2 linked regions of the Canis lupus familiaris genome follow. The protein of the gene in region 1 purifies or fractionates together with the protein of each later gene. This does not show direct contact. Links are inferred from orthologs where the notes say so. Each region holds a gene or a part of one and is shown in the gene's direction. Other genes may lie near its edges. The genes, in order: PDGFRB and RASA1.

Evidence for each region.
Region 2: the proteins of PDGFRB (region 1) and RASA1 purify together in Homo sapiens (co-immunoprecipitation; 5 studies listed by BioGRID and IntAct, with this or other methods). This does not show direct contact. The link is inferred for Canis lupus familiaris from reciprocal best matches to the Homo sapiens genes PDGFRB and RASA1.

The regions. Positions count from the first base shown.
Region 1 is NC_049225.1:59,839,767-59,844,270, forward strand, and holds the start of PDGFRB (platelet-derived growth factor receptor beta precursor), read left to right. Parts: upstream 1-1,503; 5' UTR 1,504-1,547; intron 1,548-4,504. UniProt on the Homo sapiens protein: Tyrosine-protein kinase that acts as a cell-surface receptor for homodimeric PDGFB and PDGFD and for heterodimers formed by PDGFA and PDGFB, and plays an essential role in the regulation of embryonic development, cell proliferation, survival, differentiation, chemotaxis and migration.
Region 2 is NC_049224.1:21,307,685-21,311,950, reverse strand, and holds the start of RASA1 (ras GTPase-activating protein 1), read left to right. Parts: upstream 1-1,401; coding exon 1,402-1,871; intron 1,872-4,266. UniProt on the Homo sapiens protein: Inhibitory regulator of the Ras-cyclic AMP pathway. Stimulates the GTPase of normal but not oncogenic Ras p21; this stimulation may be further increased in the presence of NCK1.

The DNA.
Region 1 (4,504 bases):
GGTGGGGACACGAGGTCCAGCCAGGTTTTGGAGAAGCCTTGACAGACCCTAGCAGGGAAGGGAGGGCAAGAGGCTGGAAAGGGGACATTAGCAGGTACTCGAAAATATGTGTTGGGTGACTGAATGAGATGCAGAGAAAAGGATAACCCTGGAAGAAGGCGGGGCAGGAGGCCCAGTCTGCTCTGCAATGGGAGTCTTGCCCCGGGGTCAGGTCACCTGTGTCTGTTCTGTCATGGAACTCGGGAGACCTGATTCCACTCCAGTTCTGCCATTGCTTGTGGGAGCTTGGGAAGCTCATTCCTCTTCTCTGGGCTTCTGTTTCATTGTCTATAAAATGGGGAAATAACCCTTTCCTGGTACTTGAGGGACAGCGAGATGACAGGAAGGAATGTGTTTGGAAATCCCAAGTACACCGGGTGACATCGCCAGGTCTCTTTCCCTCTCTGTGCCAATTCACACCTGAGCCTTGGGTTTCTTCTTGTGACAGCGACTGATAATCCCAAAGCCTCAGTTAGTTGCCCCTCTAAATGCACTCTCAGCCCCCCTGCTATTCCTCAGGGTACCTCCCTGTGCCTCCTGTGTCTCCACTAGCCAGGGCAGCCCTGGAGTCAGGGACTGTGTGTTGCTCACTACCACCTCCAGCACCCCGCATGGTGTCTAGCACATGCTTGTTCAATAAACGGATGTTGCCTGAATCAATCATATAGGTGCTCAGAGCTGCCCTTATGGATGTGGAAACTGAGGCACAGACAAGGGAGTCGGCCCCAGGTGCTGCGCGGCAGGGCATCAGAGAGGTGGGGCCGGACCACTTTTTAATAAAAGTGACTCAGCGGTTGGCGTGGGCTGCGGAATTTCTAAACATCCCCTCACATCCTGAGAGAGCAGGCGACGGAGAGAGCAAGCAGAGGGAAAAAAGGAAGAAAAACAAGAAACTTGGGGGAAAAGAAAGAGGGGGAAGAAACTGAAATTGAAAACAGACACACGCGTCCACCTTCCCCGCCCCCTCGCCCCCCTGCTCCCGGCTGAGCCAATCAGAGGCGGCCCTGCAGCCTTTCCCCCAAAGCAGGGGGAGGGCAGGGAAGCCCACAGTGGTGTGAGCTCCCGGGCTGCCAGCGCCCGCAGTCCCTGCCCATCCCGTCTGGGATCCAGGATCCCTCTGCGAACAAGTTGGAGGCAGAGGGCAGGAGGACGGCACGGAGAGGACCCGGCCCCCCTGACCAGCAGCTGGGGGCAGCAGCCTGTGCCCTGCAGCGCAGAGGGCCAGACCCAGGGCGGCCCCTCCTGGCAGCCCTGCTCCTCCAGAAGGATGCTTTGGCAGTGAGGCCACTCCTCACTCACCCCTGCAGCCCCCCACTCTCTCCATCCTCCTGAGGCTCCCAGGGCCCGGAGATTAGGCTGTCTTCCCTGCTCTGCGACCCAGCCGTGGCCCCGTTGGGGAGTCCAGCAAAGTCTTTCTGTTAATGAGAGGTCAGCGAGGAGGACTTCCTGGAGGGGGTGACAGCCCAGAGCTCAGGACTGTGCCCACCCCCGAAGGCATCAGCAGCAAGGTAAGTGCTGGGAGAAGGGGGATCCCCAGCCCCTTGTCCTGTCCCCTTGCTCCAGTCTGTGCCTTCTTGGGTAGGTCAAAAAATGGAAAATATTTTTAACAAAACCAGATGGGAAGAAGCTGGGAGGCTGTGGGCGACGTCAGGGCTGGAGGAGCCAGTTTTCTCTTCTCCTGCTCAGGCTGCTTCTGGGGTGGGTGGCCCAGCCGGTCTCCATAGCCCTGCTGTCCCCTGCTTTTGCCAAATGAACCCCAGAGGTTTCTGGGTGCAGACTGAGGGCCTCCAAAACATAGAACCGCCTGAGAGGGCCGGGGAAAGCTGGCAGGAGCTCGAGAGGGGAATTGGGAGGCAGCAAGGAGGGTGCACGGAATGGAGATCTAGCAGGGGATAGGGGACTTCAGAGCCATGGCCCCTGTCTCTGGGCCCAAGCCTTGTCCTTAAGAATCTGTCTGGCTCTAGGCCAGTCGGCCGCCAGGCAACCTCTGGGGATTTAAATGGATTTGCAAATTTTCCAGATTCCTAAGATGTCCTTCCAAACCCCCAGTGGCTGGGAAAGTGCGAAGGCAAGGGGGCTGTGGCAGGCCTAGCCTAGCAGTCACAGTCTCACAGTCGGGGCTGTGGGGCTGGGGGCCTGGGATCCGCCGTCAGATGTAGGGGCCCCTCTGGAAAGAAGGGGGAGTCGGTTGCTGGGCCCTTCCCTCTGGACCCAGGCAGCTGCTCAAGCCGCCTCGCTGTCTCCCTCCTTCCGACGCTGCTTTCACTCCATCCTAAAACATGAATCTGATCACGATTCCTTCTTTGAGTCTCCCCTATAGAAAGCCCCAACTCCTAATAGTAGCTGCCACTGATTGACACTTACTGCATGCCAGGACTGTGCGGAGAGCTTTATGAGCATGATCTCACGTAACTCACCAGCGGCTCCAGAGGCAGGGATGGATTTTATGTTGGTTTTACGCGTGAGGTTCACAGCAGCTACAAAACTGTATCACGGTGCTAGTAACTGGCAGAGCTTGGGGAGATAATAAGCTCCCTGCCGCATTTCTCCAAACTTGGTCCTTGTGTTCCCGCCAGTCAGATCCCAGGGTCCCCAGGAGGAGTATGCACAATCTTGCCTGTGAGAATGCCCCTCCTCATTTTCCGTGAAGGAAAATGGAGGGAATGCCCTACCTCCCCCTCCTCCAGGCAGCCTTCCGGGGTCCTTCCAGTCTTCCAAGTGCTTGCCATGCCCTTTGCCTTGTTGCTTGGCCTTCTCTTCCTGTTTGTGCTCTGTGTGCACATCAGAGATCATTTGGGCCCCAAGTGACCCCATCTTGTTTTCCGTCCCCAACATATGCAGACAGGCAGGCAGTGAAACAGAAAATGTGCTGGCAAAAGGTAGGAGGGGCTCACTGAAGACTTGCTGTTCCCAAATGTGAGACCAGAACCAAGCCCCACCCTTCCCTCAGGTGCCCTTCCAGAACAGCACGCTGTTCCTCCAGACTGCATTTTTCTATGTCAAACAGGGAGGAGTGTCCCTGCCTGTCTGCCATCCCAGAATGCAGGAGGCCTCTAGGGAGATATCTGAGGTCATGCGGTCCTCCCCTGCCTCCTTGCAGCAGGCCCCGGATCCGTAGCCCCGGATCCGTAGCTCCGGATCCATAGTGCTGCTGTGTGGGTCACCGCCATGGAGTGCTTTCACTGTGCCAGGCACAGAGCCGAGACCCCACACACCTTGTCACCCCCACAGCAGCTCTTGGGAATCTGTATTGTCGTTACCCCTGTGTTGCAGACCAGGAAGCCAAGGCTCAGAGAGGCTATGTGATTTTCCCAGTGTCACATAGTTAGTAGAGTTGGTACTTAGGCCAAAGTCTACTTGAAACTGAAGACTTACCCCCTGGCTACCCAGGGAGCCCCAGGGCAGAAGGCAGGGAGTCTCCATTCTCCCACTGAGGCCGTTCCTGGCTCCAGCACCTTCGGCGGCAGGCTCCGCCTGCACTGGGTCTACCCGAAGTCTGGCCAGGTCCTAAGTGAGGAAGGAGGACCATCTGGCCAGCACCTTCCCTTTAGTGGTGATGGGACAGCCCTCCCTCCTCTGTGGGAAGAGGAGCTGAGATTTGTAATTGCCCCCAGATGTGGGACAGCGGAAAGCCCCGCAGATTCAGAGTCAGGAGACCTGGCGTTTGCCCTGGCTCAACTCAAGTCCGCTATGTTGCCAACTCGGGTCCCCGGATCCTTTTTTTCTGGGCTGTATCCACATCTGGAAGGTGTTGGGCACTGGGGTAAAGAACATCAGGTCTGGGCATCAGAGGACTGTGTATTATTCCCTAGTTGGCTCCTGCCTGGCTGTGTGACCCTGGGCCAGTGCTCTGTCTCTCTTGGCATCGGCCCCCTCCTCTGTAGGCAGCAGGGAGGCATGTAGTCTCCGTGAGGATAATATTGATAAAGGTGCGTAGTAGATCTTGCACTTCTCAGGGCTGGACCCAAAGGCCATTGGCTGAGAGAGGCCCACTGGCCTCCCTCCGTCCTGAACAGGACTCGGCAGTGAAGTTAGTCTATGCCTCACCAAGAGCTATGCCCCTGGAAGGGACCAGTCTAAAGGCCTACCTCCACCTTCCAGGCATGGTCTGGCTCTGAGACCTTCTGGACTGGAGGAGGGCACTTGGGGTTTTTGCTCAGGATGGGCTGCTGAGTGTGGTGGGGAGGGAGGAAGGAATGAGAGGGTCCCTAGACTGCCCTGAAGTGCCTGCCATGCCCATCTTACTTCCCTGCACATGTTTCAGAACCCTGTGGGCAGTGGGCCCTCGGCATGGGGGGACATCTTCCTCCACTGTCTTCCACAGGCCTCCCTGGGGGCCTCCCAGCGGCAGATTTCACAGCCGCTCAGCCTGGGAGCAGTGTGGGCAGGGTGAGATGACAGGGACCCGCAATCCCTGAGCACTTTCGTTGTACTTCCCATCCATTACTGTGAAGTTCACTGCTGT
Region 2 (4,266 bases), on another chromosome or scaffold:
GAAATCAGAATTTGCCACTATTTCTACCAAAATTCTTAGCCCCCCCCACCCCGTAAGGCTCCCCTTATCTATTTCCTTTACTTCTCTTGAGTTTCAGAACGTAGTTTGAATTTTTTTTTTTTAAATACGTAGTGGGGGATCCCCGGGTGGCTCAGCGGTTTAGCGCCTGCCTTCGGCCCAGGGCGTGACCCCGGGGTCCTGGGATCGAGTCCTGCATCGGGCTCCCTGCGTGGAGCCTGCTGCTCCCTCTGCCTGTGTGTCTCTGTCTCTCATGAGTGAACAAATAAAACCTTAAAAATAAAATAAAATAAAACACGGAATAGTCATATAGTGATTTCTAGTATGCGACGAAAATCAAACAAATCGATAGCCCTGCCACTCCCCCTCGGCCCCGGGCCCCGGCAGCGCCGCTTCCTAAAGGCGTTATTTTCCACCAGCAGGAAGCAGGGCCCCGGCTCCGCGGCATCTTCCTTGCCGTCTTCCTCGGCGCTGCCCCCTCCCCTGCAGCGTCCCCGCCGCGTTCGCGGAGCCGGGCCCCCCAGCCCTCGGCCCGCCCCTCCGCGGCGCACGCTGACCCGGGGCGGGGCGGGGCGGGGACGGGGCGGGCGCCCCCCCGCGGCCGGTCCCCCGCACCGCGCGCCCCCGCCGCTTCCTTCCCTCGGGCCCAGCAGCGCGGCCGCCCCCGCGCCAGGGCCGCGCCTGCGCACAAGCCGCCCCGGCCCTGCTCCCCGCCCTTCCTCCCGCGGCCGGCTCCTCCTCCGGCGCCCCGCCTTCCTTTCTCTCTCTCTCTCTCTCTCTCCCTCTCTCTCTAGTCGGTTTCCGCGAGCGCTCCAGGTCGGCAGCCGCTCGGCCCGCTTCCCCGCCCCCCGCCCCTTCCTCTCCTCTCCTCTCCTCTCCTCTCCTCTCCTCTCCCCACCCCTCCCGCCTCCAGCCCCGCGGAGGATGCAGCGGCCGCCGCGGCCCGGGCCCCAGCAGCGGCACCGGCGGTGGCTGCGGTGGGGGTGGCCGGAACTGGGGTGGTGAAGCGGCGGCGGCGGCCGAGCGGGCGGCAGCCGCGCCAGCCGCTTCCTCTGTGCTTCCCTTCCTCTCTGGCGCGGCCAGGAAGTTTCTCACTAGTGTGCATGTGTGTGAGTGTGGGTGTGCAGGCTGAAGGTGCGGGTTGGCGTTGGTGCCGGCGGTAGGTTTTTTGCCCACTCGGCTTCCCGTAACCCGGGCCGCTCCGGAGCCTGGGCTGTGGCCCGAGGAGGGGGCGCGGCGGCGGGCTCGGTCCTTTTGTTGTCGTTTCCTCCGCCCGGGGAGCCGCCAGGGGGACGCGCCCGGGTGGGGCGGCTGGGAGCCCGGGCCTGCTGGCCCCCGGGGCTCCCGGGCGAGCGTAGAGCGGAGAGCGGAGCGGGCTTCAACATGATGGCGGCCGAGGGCGGCAGCGAGGAGGGCGGCCCGGGGGCGGCGGGGGCGGCGGGGGGCGGCGCGGCCGCGGGCTCGAGCGCCTGCCCGGCGGCGTGCAGGGTGAGGATGCCCGGCGCGCTGCCCGTGCCAGCCGTCGCCTGCTCCGGGCTGCCGGAGGCCGGCGGGGCCGCGCTGGGCGCCGGGCCGGGGGCGGGAGCCGTGGGGGGAGCCGGACTGTCAGGGGGAGGGGCCGGGGCCGGGGCCGCCGGGGCCGGGGGAGAGCCGGCCCTCGCCAAGGGCACCGCTTCGCTGGCTGCGGACACCTTCGGGGCGGGCGGCGCCTTCCCCCCGCTGCCGCCGCCGCCTCAGCTGCCCGCCCTGGGCGCCGCCGGCCTGGGAACCGTGGACGAAGGGGACTCCCTGGATGGACCCGAATACGAGGAGGAAGAGGTGGCCATCCCCCTGACCGCGCCTCCGACTAACCAGTAAGTGCACGCAGCCGTCCCGGGCCCGGGGACGCCGGCTCCTGGGCACAAGTGCGAACCCCTGGGACCTGCAGCTTTTCTTGCAGTTGCGATCCGTTGGTGAAAAAGTTTGGAGCCTTCGGGGTTGGCGTGCGTCGGGACTTGATTGGATCGCTCCTCTTCCCTGAGGGCGTGCACGCTGCCTTCGGCGTCTTTTGCATCTTTCTGGTTAGACCCTGGGAAGAAGTGAAGTTTTTGAGCTAGGAAAGCATGGAGAGTGGGGGGGGAGGGGGGGGAGGGGGGGCATGTGTATCCATCGGGAACCGGATACGGTGCTGCCTTTTCCAAGCCGAGGTTGCGTCCCCGGGGCTCAGCTGAGCTTGCAGCTGCCCGGGCCGTAGAGTCTCTCTCAGCCTGTGCGTGCATTCCCTGTTGAAGTCAGGTTATCCTTAGTCATAAGGCTTTGGGTATGCAAGTATTCCAAGGAGTATGGTATTGATGACCATTTTAAACATGCACCGGTCAGAAGGCTTTGCCTTTGTGGTGCTGTGCATCCCCAGCCTTTCGGAGGCAGAGCGATGCAGAAAAGTCTTCGGGTCTCTCCTGAAGATGTGGGTCGGCGAGAAAGGAAAGGAGTTCTGCGAATTACAGGTGTGGTGAAGGGTCTCTCTCCTCTTACGGGGTCTGTGACGTAGGCCGTGAAATTCCCATTTATTGATAACAGCCTGATCTTTTTATAGTTGAGGCTTTGTAAGCACAGTTCTCAAGTAAAATTGTCAATACTTCAATACTTTGTTGGTGGCCAGTGCAGTGTTCCATTTGGCAATCAGTTGCGACGGTATATTGCAGGGCATTTAGGGCAAATGGCTTTTTTCACACGGTGAGTACCTTCCCCTTGTTCCCTCCATAAGTGAACATAGGTGTGTGTTTGTAAAGGTGGACCTTGATGAGAGGAGAGTGTTACTGGGAAGGGGTAATAGATGGCAAAACCGTTCTTACGGATCCTTCACATCAGTTATTATCTGACCTTTAGAATTTCGACAGCCTTGGTGTATCAGAGGAAAAAATATTTGGTTCATATGATGACATTCACTCTGGACAATTGAAAGTATTTGTTTGTTTTGGATAAGCTTTGGAGGATTTAGAAAGGACTTAGAAAATGATTAGAAAAAGATTCTGTGATAATCCATTCTTAACCTAGGGCTACATCTTTTGATATTTAAGGGGGAAAGGTAAAAGTAGCCTGATTTGTGTCAGCCGTGGTATACTGCTCAGTAAGAGTTTAATTTTTTTGTCTAACTTTATTCCAACTTACCATGTTATGTGTTTGTTTTATAGACCTCTGAAGGTGTTCTGGGAGTGTGAAAAATTTGAATTTTACAGCACTGTTTACACACCTTCAAGCCTTTTTGAAAGAATCAGTAAATATTTAAGCGCTCACTACATCACTCCATGCTCAGCACTAGGGTTATAATAAAGTGCAACTTTTCATACTGAAAGAAGGCAGTCTTTTGCCAGTGTTTGTAACTGAGTTATATTAGGCATATTTGTATATTGTAGTTATAAATTTTTTTAAAAAAGTGATTTTGTGGAATGGTTTTAGGTTCACAGCAAAACTGGGCAGAAAATATAGTGTTCCCATTAGATTTTTCAGGATAAACATGAAGGAGTATTTGGAAAAATTTTTAGAAGTCTATTGTGTGAGGTTTCCATCATCATTAATATATATTTGGGAATAAAAATAATACTTGCATGACTGTATATATGAGAATCGTAAATGTTCTGAAAAGTATCCTCCATTTCAAGTATGTTTTTTAAATTTGTCACTGAGGAGTACAAATTACCCTCTTTTCTTTATCTTAGATATCAAACCAGAGTCACTGGAGGCAATACAGTGTAGTGTTTAAGGGTGCAAATTCTGAAGTTAGACAAGATTTGGGTTGGAATCCTGACTCTACCACTTATAACTGTGTGATCTTGGAAAGGTCAGTTTCCCCATCTGTAGAATGGGGATAATAATGGTACCTCCGTCATAGCATCGTTTTTAAGATTTAATGAGAACCCTGAAGTATTCAGTCAGCACAGTGCTTGGCACATAGTAAGTGTTCAGTAAATAGTATGCCAAAGTAACAGTAATATTTTATTGCCATTAAATTGCCTACTGATTCTATTGGTACAGGGAACTCCCTCACTGATAGTTACTTTAGGCAATGGTTCGTACTCCAGAGGTCTAGCTACCATGGTTAGCTATATTAAGAATTATGACTTCATAAAGGTTTCCATCAGGTTAAGTAGGTTTAGAGATGAAGTTCAGATCTTTTCTATGAATTCCTTTTTTTAATTTTTTTTTATTTTTATTTATTTATGATAGTCACAGAGAGAGAGAGAGAGAGAGAGAGAGGCAGAGACACAGGCA